Linked DNA regions of Arabidopsis thaliana. The protein of the gene in region 1 interacts with the protein of each later gene in a pairwise test. Each region holds a gene or a part of one and is shown in the gene's direction. Other genes may lie near its edges.

Region 1 (6,604 bases):
TCTGCTGGAATCAAGCCCAGTGAATACACGATTGTTGGGGTTCTTAATGCATGCAGTGACATTTGCTATCTAGAAGAAGGGAAGCAACTTCATTCTTTCTTGTTAAAGTTGGGATTTGAAAGACATTTATTTGCAACTACTGCTTTGGTTGACATGTATGCAAAAGCCGGTTGTCTAGCAGATGCCAGAAAAGGTTTTGACTGCCTACAAGAACGTGATGTGGCGCTTTGGACATCGCTTATTAGCGGGTATGTTCAAAACTCAGATAACGAAGAGGCTTTGATTCTGTACCGCAGAATGAAAACAGCAGGTATTATCCCAAACGACCCAACCATGGCAAGTGTTCTAAAAGCTTGCTCTTCTCTAGCTACCTTGGAGCTCGGAAAGCAAGTACACGGCCACACAATCAAGCATGGGTTTGGGCTTGAAGTTCCAATAGGAAGCGCACTTTCTACAATGTACTCAAAGTGTGGGAGTTTAGAAGATGGGAACCTCGTCTTTAGAAGAACTCCCAATAAAGATGTTGTGTCTTGGAACGCTATGATCTCAGGCTTGTCCCATAATGGACAAGGAGATGAGGCTTTGGAACTGTTTGAGGAGATGTTAGCAGAAGGAATGGAACCAGATGATGTCACTTTCGTGAACATTATATCAGCGTGTAGCCACAAAGGTTTTGTAGAGAGAGGCTGGTTTTATTTCAATATGATGTCAGATCAGATCGGGCTTGATCCAAAAGTTGACCACTATGCTTGTATGGTTGATCTGCTGAGCCGTGCAGGACAGCTCAAAGAGGCAAAAGAGTTCATCGAATCAGCTAATATTGATCACGGTTTATGCCTTTGGCGGATACTATTAAGCGCATGTAAGAACCATGGGAAATGTGAGCTAGGAGTTTACGCAGGAGAGAAGCTCATGGCCCTTGGATCGAGAGAATCATCAACTTATGTGCAATTGTCAGGCATTTACACGGCTTTAGGGCGGATGAGAGATGTGGAACGGGTTTGGAAACACATGAGAGCAAACGGGGTGAGCAAAGAAGTGGGTTGCAGTTGGATCGAGCTGAAGAATCAGTACCATGTTTTTGTTGTGGGAGATACAATGCATCCGATGATTGAAGAGACGAAGGATTTGGTTTGTTTGGTTAGTAGACAGATGATAGAAGAAGGATTCGTAACTGTGTTGGATTCGTCTTTTGTCGAAGAAGAAGAAGGAACACAATTATCTACTTCTTTCATAATATAAATTTTTTGTTGAAATTTTTTATATTGTAGGTTTTAATTTTAGGTGTGTGAGTGTAACTTTAGGTGTGAAAATGTATCACAAATAGTAATTCTTTTGTTAACCAAATGATTATTCACTTTTTATAACCATATGCCATATAGTGTTAAATTACTGAATGTTTTGTTTCCATTCATTGCAAATTAGACAATGCATGCATGCTTTAGATTTTAGAACTTTGAAATAAAGAGAAATTGAGATTTAGCTAAATGTGGAAATAACCTAGTCAAATACACTCCCTAGTTCGATGGCCAATTTTGTGCAATTTCTTTGGACAATAATTATTTACGTCTCCAAATATATTGTCTTCACACACAAGGAAGAAAAAAAAAAAGAAGCTAAACTTAAATTCAAGAAATATGTCAGGAAATATGTCGAAGAGTGAAGAGAAACAAGAGTTGCCACTAGAAACAAGTCCGTATACAAAGTACGAGGATATAGAGGATTACAAGAAGAATGCTTATGGAACTTCCGGTCACCAGGACGTTAAGCCTGGCCACGGCGGCGGCACAACCGACGCACCGACCCCCTCCGGTGATGCTGCTCCCTCCGCCATAGATTCCGCTAACCAAAAAGCTAAGAAGTGAACCACTCACAAAATGTTTCTCTTGATTCTGTTTTAGTTACTCTCCAATGTGATTCATTTGACGCATTGTGATAATTGACATGTTTTTGTTTTTTCTCCTTTTCTCCATTGATATGATCCAATCTAAGATCAATAAATAGATGTCAAGTCGAAGGGATTTTGGCCATCTTGCAACATTAACAACCCACGTTATGTATATTCTCACCTTGAAAAACAGAATTTTGCGAAGAATTATACGCCAAATTTGTAAAAATATTTGGTCAAGAAAACTCTCGTACGTGTCATTTCATGACATATATTGTAGCACAAGTTGTGGTGACCTACTGATTGTCTGATCGATAGCATATTAGAAAAGAAATAAAATGAACCTTAAAAGTCAAATCCTTAACAACTACTAGCAATTAACAAACATGTTTGAATAGAAGTTTCAAGAATTCACATTGAAAACTTTACTCTCTCTTTTCAAACATGTTTCATCAAACGGAAATGTAATATTTAGTCCACTAAATCTCTAATTAAAGTCAGTAATTGATAGTTACAAAATTAATATGCTTCTTCCATCGGTATGAATTAATTATGATGCCCAACAGGCAACAACTAGCTACCAATTTGATTTCTACCGGCTTTGATCAACCTAAACCGGAAATAAATTTCTCGGTAATGTGAACACAGCCGCAACATTAGCTGAAACCAATATAATTACGACACGTGTATGGCGGGAATCAGACGCCGCAACTTTAATTTTTTAATCGGAGGTAACCCCTCGCCATTGGGAAAGACAAAAGGAGATTTGCATGGTAGCGATCTTGACCGTCGATGTTCTATCTTAGAGATCTAATGGTTAGGAATTTATGGCGGTACCACCCGGTCAAAGTAATGCGTACCGTCGATATTTGACACGTGTCGGTAATTTAGCTCCGGTTTGACAGATAGACGATACGAGAGATTACCTGGAAACGCCGGTGGCCAACCAAATACCGAACGAGACAAGCTTCTCTCTCTCTTTCTCTATCTATCTTTCTCTCTCAAAGAAAGCTTTTGGAAATTGTCTTTCGTCAAATTCTGTTCTTCTTCTTCATTAAACTCATAACTTTTTCTGGGTTTTTCGAGAATTTCTTCGAAAGGATCTTACGGTAAGAGAAAAGGAAAATTAAGAGGGAATAAGAAGATTCATCATCATTGTCATCTGTGGGGAATCTCAGAGCTTTTTTTTCTGTAGTTTTGTTATCTTTCTGAATTCTCTACCTGCTTCAAGATTTCATTTTTATTCATCGATCTTTGGGGTTTAGTTTCAAAGCTGAATTCTTTGAGGTTTCTGAAATTTGCGAGCTGGGTTTTTGTTGAAATAGGCTTCTGAGTTTTGGTTATATTTGTGGATAATCGATTACTTGATCTGACCTGAGAAAAAGTAGAAACCTTTGAGTAGAGCTGGTTCTATTACAAAGTTGTGTTTGGGAGCTTGCTACAAGACCATTGGATTTCTTCACTTTCTTCATTTGTTGAGTCTGCTACAAGATCAAGGATCTGTTGATTTTGGGTATTTGATCAAAATCTGAAATTGATCTTGTGGAAGTAAGGTTGCTGTAGTTGTCAAGGTCTTTGGTGAAGTTTGTTTCTCACAAAGTTTGATCCTTGAAGTTGGTCTCTATTGATCTTAGATCTAGTGTGAATAAAGGAAGTCCTTGGAAAGCAGCAGACTTGAAAACGCTATCACAAGAGGAATTGCTTCCTGAAGAGACTGTCTGGATTGCTGATAGATTTATATGATTCAGAGAAGAACTCACCGATGAGTATGGATTTTTCACCTTTGTTAACGGTTCTTGAGGGAGATTTCAACAAGGATAATACTTCTTCTGCAACAGAAATTGATACTTTAGAGAACTTAGATGACACTAGGCAGATAAGTAAAGGAAAACCTCCGAGGCACCTCACAAGCAGTGCTACTAGGCTGCAGCTTGCAGCCAATGCGGTAATATACTTGACCCTGCTTTTTCTTTTTCCTTTTCTTTGTTACAATGGGATTCGAATGATGTAACTGGTTTCTGTTTGTGCGCAGGATGTGGATGTTTGTAACTTGGTTATGAAGTCACTTGATGACAAATCAGAGTTTCTACCTGTATACCGATCAGGAAGTTGTGCTGAGCAAGGGGCAAAACAGTTCATGGAAGATGAACACATTTGCATCGATGATCTTGTTAATCATCTTGGTGCAGCTATTCAATGCTCTTCTCTTGGAGCCTTCTATGGGGTGAGTTTATCTTCCAATCTTACCCAAAGAAGCATAAAAGCAATTCACTAGCCTGATTCTTCTTTCTTCTCCTCTTTTGTACTAGTACGATATAAGAGGTATTACTTCAAAAACTCTTCTAACATTTGTTGATTGTGTGTCCTTTGGCAGGTATTTGATGGCCACGGTGGCACAGATGCAGCACACTTTGTTAGAAAGAACATTCTGAGATTCATTGTAGAGGACTCCTCCTTCCCACTATGCGTAAAGAAAGCAATTAAGAGTGCTTTCTTAAAAGCTGATTATGAATTTGCAGATGATTCTTCTCTTGACATCTCTTCTGGGACCACTGCGCTTACAGCTTTTATTTTTGGACGGTAAGAGCATTTAAATTCGTATTTATGAACTTGGGAAGCTATATATGTTATCACCTGTATAATCATCAATACTTATCAGGTTGCCTGTGTGTATAAGATAGAGAATAAGGCTTAGTGTAAAGACTTATGTAACGGGCTGTTTTACCATGTTTCTTTGTAGTTTTGATGTGATTTTGAATAGAATTGCTACTTTCTTTCTTTACAGGAGGTTGATAATTGCAAATGCTGGTGATTGCCGAGCAGTACTGGGGAGAAGAGGTAGGGCAATTGAGTTGTCCAAAGATCACAAACCAAACTGCACAGCCGAGAAAGTAAGAATAGAAAAGTTAGGTGGAGTTGTGTATGACGGTTACCTCAACGGGCAACTATCAGTTGCACGTGCCATTGGAGACTGGCACATGAAAGGTCCCAAAGGCTCTGCTTGTCCGCTAAGCCCAGAGCCAGAGTTGCAAGAGACAGACCTGAGTGAAGACGACGAGTTCTTGATAATGGGATGTGATGGTCTGTGGGATGTGATGAGCAGCCAGTGCGCTGTGACAATAGCTAGGAAGGAACTGATGATTCATAATGATCCAGAGAGATGCTCTAGAGAGCTTGTGAGGGAGGCCCTTAAACGGAATACATGTGACAATTTGACAGTGATTGTTGTGTGCTTCTCTCCGGATCCTCCACAGAGGATAGAGATCCGAATGCAGTCACGGGTGAGGCGGAGCATATCTGCGGAAGGGTTAAACCTACTCAAAGGCGTGCTCGATGGCTATCCGTGAGCATGTTATGTTGTACGTTACTTTGTGAGACTATTGCCAAGTTAGAGAGAGTGTTTACAGGTTTATTGACATGTTGTGTTCTGAGTATGTTGTTGTTACCAATATTAGTAGTATTCAACATCCATTGAGATTTTAGATGGATGCATATTATCCCATTGTAAATAATTTTTAACTTGTTCCACCAAATTCCTTTCATTAAAAAATTTATCAGAATTTTATTATTTGCATTTAGGCCCTCATACTATTAGGACAGTTCACATTAACCCCTATATATTCATTATATTTAAAGAAACACTTAGATCTCTGTTTCAATTTAGCAAATGGAAAACAAAAGAGACTTTAGTGTTTAAGAGAAGCGTCTCTACCATGATGAAGACACGAGCTTGTTCGAATCCGATGAATGAAGGAGTAAACTTGGAACAGATCCCATACGATCTCGTATTGGAGATACTCTTGAAATTGTCGGCAAAGTCTATAGCGAGATTTCGTTGCGTATCAAAGCTATGGGATTCCACATTCCGCAGTCGATATTTCACTGAACTGCTCTTTATCATATCGTCTTCCATGCAAATTTAGACGTCCAAGGATCTGAAGCTTATGGCAAGTATTTAGGATTAGCACAGTCGTTATCTTATTTGATTACTATATTTTTTTTTCTTGGTACGTATGGTATTCATCTTTTCTTATTGGTTCATGCAATATCTTGTGAACCATGGTGTTATAAGTTTTAAGGTTACTCTTCTTTTCATCATGAGCGATAAGCGACTTTGGAAATTGTGTCTTTGGTGAGCTCTATGTTATTCATTTATCCATTGGTGAAAACCACATTACAATTGGGCTAAAGAATGTAGTTTTCGAGATTGTAGATGAACTAAATAGACCATTGCCAACACGGTATAACTTATTTAAAGCAAAAATCTGCATGTATACAAAAGGAAGATATACAGTACAAACATAAAGATACAGATATATAAAGTTTCCATAGCAACCTTAATTAGATTGTTACTATACAATACAATGTTCATCTTTTCTTGGGTAGTAAACAATACTACTTATTTTCATCCTCTAGTGTAAAGACTTTTGTAATGCGCTGCTTTACAATTATTCTTTGTAGCTTTTGTTTGATTCTGAATAGAAAGAATTGTTATTATAAAAGAAAAGTAAACAAATTTAAATTATACTTTTTATTCAAGTTTTGCAAATTCTCTTGTTATATTACAACATGTTTGTTTTCTTACTTAACGCCGCAAACACAATGATCAGAATCAAAACGGTTTATAGTGTTTTTTCCCTGCTGTGCACACATAAGTTTACAAGCAGAGAAAGACTGCTTTAATGTACAAACGCAACCGCCATATAGACAGGCAAC
Region 2 (6,584 bases), 4.4 Mb from region 1:
TTTCCTTTGGTGTTTCATCACCAATTTCCATTTCATCTTTATATCAATGTCCAAAGACAGTATACCACTAAGTGTCCCCATGCTAATCACATCATTATCGATAATCACTATTAGACTCTTAATAATTATTTACGTTATCAGCTTACTGTATAATTGAGACTATCACAAGAAAAGTGTAAAGTGACAAAAAGTAACAAGATTAGAAAATGGTAAATGAAAGGGAACAATATCTACAAAGAAAATAAAAGCTTGAAAATCCTAAGAACTATTTCCATAATTGTCTTCAATTGCGGCAATGACGGCCCCATGGAAATACCCGAGAACTTGACCCCGATGCGATCCGGGTCTTGACCCGTTCGAAATCTGAATACAGACAAGGAATAGTGATACCTCCTTCGTGGCAAAATCCGTACTCTTTTTCGGCTTCTCGAAGCAGCTCACCGAACAAAGGATGGTTAAAGTAAACGATGGGTACCAAAACTCTATGACAGTCGCCGTCTTTTTGACCCACGTAGATAGCTAAGTGTCCCCTTGGAACCGGGTCGGCTTTCTTATGATCAACGGGTATGTATGCGGATCTTCTCGTAGACCTGCGTCTGAAACTTTGCTTGAGACGTTGGCCCCAACTTTTGAGTTTGGCTAATGGTCTCATCAGCATGCAAGCTTGCTGGGTCGAGTGTATCCGGTTGTATCCTGAACGTTGGATCCGGGTTTTGCGAAAGATCCATCTTGAGACTCGTCTCCCGATTCTAAACCCTATGATCTTCCTCATCTTCTTATAGCTAACTTTAAAAAACAGTTTTTGTCACAAAACTACACTTTTTGAGAGATCTGAGAGGAAATAGAGATTAAGAGAGTGAGACGAGACATGGACTAACGAGTCAAATAAAGAGTGATTCATTTGAACGAGAATAAATAAATATATCAATCTTTTTTACATTTTCTTGATTTTCTCTATAAGAAAGAAAAAAAAAAAGACAATTTCTAGGGAAAACACAAATTCGAAAATGATGTGAACGGACAAAGAAGAAATGCTTTCGATGTATATAAAGTATAAACGTTAAAGAAGAAGAGATCAAGAGAAGAATGAGTGAAAGACAAGAGGTCTTTAAAGGAGTTTATATGGAGTCTAAATAAATGAACGGTTAGATGAAGACTAAGGTCTATGACCGTTGGATTAGATTAAAACTGCCATATTTCTCTTGCTTGGCAGATAGTCCAAACCCGAAGAATCTACATTAAATATGACACGTCCCATTAACCTTTAGCCTACATTTATCATTATCACTGAAACGTTTTGATGGGTTATCAATCACAAATTCACAATACGAAAAAAAACAGTAGTGTCAAACTATTATGGTATTTTAGCGTGTAATTCGTTACGCAGATATTATTATCTATGGTTGATTTTGAATCTGAAAATATGATCTATCGAAGAAAGGCCTGAAATTATTTTATTATCTGAATATGTTTTGTCGGAGCTTACATGCTTAGCATGTTTGAACTTCGAAGATGAAGACAACTATGCCACCACACGTGTGCTGGCCAAGTGGGACAAAGTTTTGAACCTATTCGGTAACACTCACACGAGATCAAATCCCCACCATCTCATTTTATAATGTCGTTTATTTATTTGTTAGTGATCATCTACTGTTTTTTAATAAGGTTAGTGCCCTAGTGATCATCTACTTGTCTGTGATTTTGTAAAAAATATATATAGAATTAAAATTATATTACGAGAACAAAATGTGTACGGTGTGTCCTCTAGTTGCGTTACTTGTGTACGTTGATGATGGTTGATATATATACATATTCATATCAGGACAAAAAAGCTTTTAAAAAGACCAATAAAGATAGATCTAGTTTTGAGTAATTGGAGGATTCACTAAGCTTTTTGGAGCTAAAATGGTGAATTTCCCACGAATCAAATCTGAGAAGAGAAGCTTTCTATATTTTGAGTTACTTTACACAATTACACGTTCATTTGTAAATTAAGATCGTGTTTGTGCTGCATCCAAAAAATTCTTGGAATTTTAAAGTAATGAAATATAACTAAACAAAATGACCACTAAAAAATAAAATAAAAAGCACATGAGAGATGAGTGATTATACTCTGATAAATTAGCTAACAAAATTATGTATATATAAAAAAGGTTTTATGCAGTGTAAATTGTACTTACACACTTAATCAAAGCAAAACAAAAATATTAAACCGACAATAATACGTAAACCAAAAAACCAATATTCCTTAAAATCAATTTGTGTTTCCAACCGACAAGTTCTTTGTATATATGGTTAATCATATTTTGTTGTAGTCCGTATCCTAGCTAAAAGACGTTTAAACGTTCATAATGGATATGACCCACCCAGCTGGTGAAGATATTCGTTTTTCGTGATCATATATATATGTTTCTTTTTGCCCATCCCTGTTTCTATTAACCCAAGTTAAATTAGCTATATATGAGCAAAAACTATGAGTTGAAGTTAAGCACAATTTCCGAATCACAAAAAAAAAACAAATTGATTTGGACCTTTCGATAATAGGAATCAGAAAGAAGTTTGTTCCAAACACTTCTCTTATATAAATCCCAACTCATCAGCTTCGTGTTTCCGTACAGTGCGTACATATACGAACGTGTCACTCGGCTTTTAACGTCAACTTAATCGAGAGCCCAATTCAGGCTTACTATAAGCCTTAATAAGCCCAATATTAAAAGTCCCTGATTATTGTGAGCCCAATATTAAAAGTCCATGACTATGGTGAGCCCAATAATAAAAGTCCATGACTATGGTGAGCCCAATAATAAAAGTCCTTGATTAAAAGGCCCATCACCAGTGGAGCGAAGAAGCGGAGGAGGGAAGAGGGATGCGATCCTCTCGTCATCGCTGGTTCCATCAGTTTCAGTGAGAATCAGATCGTCGTTGTACTGAGAGCTCCGGCATTGGTTCACGGCGGAGCTGGAGAGTTATCTAAGAACGGAGAGGTTACTGATCTGAATTGTTGAAGATCGGAAAATGACAGAATCGAGTCTGGATCTGCAGGAATCTGGTTGGGAAGAACTTAGGCGGGAAGCTCGTAAAATTGAAGGAGATCTAGACGTTAAGCTCTCTTCTTACGCTAAGCTAGGCGCCAGGTTTACTCAAGGCGGTTCGTTCTTCTTCCTTTCCGCTTGATCATGCTATCTGTGTCTTTCTTTGTTATTTCCATTGCTTTGAATGTTGCTGTTATGTCTACTATCTGAATGTGGGGGTTAGTAGTCTGTAATGTGATATAGATCTAGGAATCAATGTTGGATATGATCTCTTCACCGAATTGAATTTGATCGCCATTGTTTGCTCAGTCTATGTTATGCTTCCCCAATGCTTAATTCATGTGTGGTGTTTGGTAGAGTAAAGTTAAAATTGGTAATGTTTCTCTCAGATTCCTGTCAAAATTATTTTTCTGTGAATGACTAAGGTAAGAAGAATTTTTGTGTGTTAAGCTTACTGTTTTGCATTAGCTTTCAGTTTTTAAGAATTGCATTGTTGTATGTATCAGATACTGATCTTGTTATGAATTATGAGAAAGTATTGAAATGTGTTTTGGTTTCAGGGTATGTTGACACTGGGTCTCCAACCGTTGGATCGGGGAGATCATGGAAGTCTATGGAGATGGAAATTCAATCGTTGCTTGAGAAGTTGTTGGATATTAATGATTCCATGAGTAGATGTGCTGCATCTGCTGCACCCACAACATCGGTTACTCAAAAACTAGCAAGGCACAGGGATATACTTCATGAATATACCCAGGTTTTCTTGCACCATATTTGACTTCTTTCCTTTCTAAGCTCTTTGTTGTATTCAATAGCTATCCCCATCACGTAAGTTTATTTGTTATTTTTCGAAGTTTGAATGACATTTTGGAGAATTATAACTTAGTAATATATCGGGGATCTCAAACTTGAAAATTCTGATCATGCTATTGATGCAACAATCTTCAGCTAAATAATTTTGGTGCATTATGCATAAGGTAGATAAGTTGATAGATGCCTTTGCATAGAACAAAGTTTTGGTACTCCTATCCACTGTTTGCGTATCATGCATCAGTGATCAGTGATACTAGCTGAGTAATTGCAGTCCCATTTTGAAAAGGAAAACCCCTTTGCACTAGTGTAGATTTGTTTAGTGATACTTATGTGTGTTCTGTAGTAATATGAAATCATACGTATTATAGGGCCTATTTTTTCATTATAATGATATTTTAATGTGAACTTGTAGGAGTTTCGAAGAATAAAAGGAAATATAAACTCGTTGAGAGAACACGCTGAGCTTCTGAGTTCTGTCAGGGATGACATAAGTGAATATAAGGTAAAGATCCTATAGCCTCTTAGTTTAGAAAATGAATATTCTTATTATTGGAGATACACATTCTTCTATGCTCACATTTTGATTGGAAGTTGGGTTCTGTTTTTGCTTCTGCAGGCTTCTGGTAGTATGTCACCAGGTGTGCAAGTGTTAAGGGAGAGAGCTTCAATCCATGGAAGTATATCCCATGTAAGATACTTTCTGTAATCATGGCATTTGTAATCTGAGTGTTATATTCTGTTAATAATAGCCCACTTTGTAAGGTAATTTTCTAATGAGGATGTTATGGAGAATTTGGCTGCAGATTGATGATGTGATTGGTCAAGCTCAAGCGACAAGAGCAGTTCTTGGCTCTCAACGATCTCTGTTTTCAGATGTTCAAGGGAAAGTAAAAAATCTCGGAGACAAATTCCCAGTGATTCGTGGCTTACTTGGTATCTCTATTCAACCTCTATATGATATTCTCAACTAATCTCATTAGCCTTCTATTATCCTTAAGCAACTTTTGGTTTTTTCAATTAATAGGCTCAATTAAAAGGAAACGTTCTCGGGACACACTTATCCTCTCCGCTGTCATCGCTGCTTGTACGTTGTTTCTAATCATCTACTGGCTCTCAAAATAAACAGAATGTTCATACACCTAAGCTATAAAACGAGTTTGCCTTGACATCCCTAGATCGATTTTTTTACAAGTTTTTTCTTGCTTTTGTGTTTTTGCCATTATGTTGGGTTATATGTTTGTAGGACAATATTACACCCTGAATCATATCGTAAAAGTAAAATTCGAAACATATATTTCACAACATCAAAGATCCACCCATGTGACTTCATTCAGGTACTTACTTTTTATTACCACACGCTTAAATTCTTCAACATTGGTCCAACATACAATGTGGTCCAATACAACACATTATGCTCTGTTTTATTATGTTAGATTTTTATTACTCTCTCTTTCCCTTAGTTTGGTCCTCTCGACCACAATACTTTGTACGAAAAAGTAATCCAACTCATAAATTCATCTTTCAGCTTACATTTACATCCACTCAGGTCATAATATCTAAAGGCCTCACTCTCTTTATTTTGAGTGGGTACACACTTCACTAATGATGATCCAGTCCCTTGTATTTATTTTCCTGTCTATACTCTTATGTGCCCTACATATAGTTTCAAGAAGTGCTAATCAATGTGGTTCGTACCGGTTTAGAGATATTGTGGTGGGCCAAAGCCCACATAATAGCCAGGCCTGATTGACTTTTCTAAGTTTTCGTTCCTAATAAGTAATAACTATATGGTCAAATTATTGTGGACCTATCAAAAACAATTTGGGTTAGAAAAATATAGATGGATATAGTCTCGTAAAAGATATAGGCTAAACGAGGAAAGTAACAAAGAGTTACTCCAACGTATGATTCGTTATCTAATACTAATTATAGTTTGAATATTGCTTTTGGAGGGAGGAGATTGTAATATATTTTAGCTTTTGGCTTTTTGCTTTACATTGGCTGGACATAGGACTAGGAATCAGAGGCTCTTTTTTAAATAAAAGCTTGTTTAGATTCTGCGCTTCCCAATGGGAGACCGTTTCTTACGAATTTTCAGACAATAAAACACTCGAGAGAATCAGAAGAGGTTCAGTTTCTCTTTTTGGTTAAAAGTGAAAAAAATAATCATTATAATTTTTGTAAAGACAGTTGATATGTGATGTCTATAGACTATAGTATAGTACACTAATCAACCATTGAACCATCACCGATATTCGATTACTCACGGATCGGGGTATACAAACCCTTAGGAACAATCGGACTTATGAAACTCATGGAATTATTCTTCGTCTACGTTGGTTTAAGACTCATAATTTTTCCGTATATAATTTACCGAGATTTTTATCTGAGATTTGTAATGGTTAATATTGAGTTGGATTGTTAAATGCAACAACATTCTTATGATTGTTTACATTTTAGCGGTATATTTTTTCGTTTGTATCACATCACGTTTGAGTTACGATTTGCAGATGATGTTATGTCAAAGAGTAAATGTGTCTTTAATGTAATTAAACACAAAATATTAAAGAGGTAAACACATACATAAATGCCAAAAAGTTAAAGCAAGCTATCGTCAGTGCAATATACACATTAGTGTGGTTGAAATAGTATGGTCAAATTTAAAGTATTTAATGGGAAATTATCCTAGTAAATAATTAAATTGAAGATATATAGACTATTAACCATAAACTAATGAGG

What was found.
Region 2: the proteins of PP2CG1 (region 1) and GOS12 interact in a protein complementation assay, tested with the Arabidopsis thaliana proteins (one large-scale study listed by BioGRID).

What each region holds. Positions count from the first base shown.
Region 1 is NC_003071.7:14,250,550-14,257,153, forward strand, and holds PP2CG1 (Protein phosphatase 2C family protein), read left to right. Parts: upstream 1-2,662; 5' UTR 2,663-3,650; coding exon 3,651-3,833; intron 3,834-3,920; coding exon 3,921-4,112; intron 4,113-4,262; coding exon 4,263-4,468; intron 4,469-4,673; coding exon 4,674-5,235; 3' UTR 5,236-5,454; downstream 5,455-6,604. Other genes in the region: AT2G33680 (Tetratricopeptide repeat (TPR)-like superfamily protein), read left to right, coding at 1-1,242; AT2G33690 (Late embryogenesis abundant protein, group 6), read left to right, coding at 1,638-1,865; AT2G33705 (F-box family protein), read left to right, coding at 5,602-5,811. UniProt on the Arabidopsis thaliana protein: Confers salt tolerance by triggering the expression of stress-responsive genes.
Region 2 is NC_003071.7:18,636,072-18,642,655, reverse strand, and holds GOS12 (golgi snare 12), read left to right. Parts: upstream 1-2,616; 5' UTR 2,617-3,015; coding exon 3,016-3,148; intron 3,149-3,538; coding exon 3,539-3,789; intron 3,790-4,257; coding exon 4,258-4,347; intron 4,348-4,461; coding exon 4,462-4,533; intron 4,534-4,648; coding exon 4,649-4,778; intron 4,779-4,869; coding exon 4,870-4,967; 3' UTR 4,968-5,139; downstream 5,140-6,584. Other genes in the region: SAUR36 (SAUR-like auxin-responsive protein family), read right to left, coding at 284-772. UniProt on the Arabidopsis thaliana protein: Involved in transport from the ER to the Golgi apparatus as well as in intra-Golgi transport. It belongs to a super-family of proteins called t-SNAREs or soluble NSF (N-ethylmaleimide-sensitive factor) attachment protein receptor.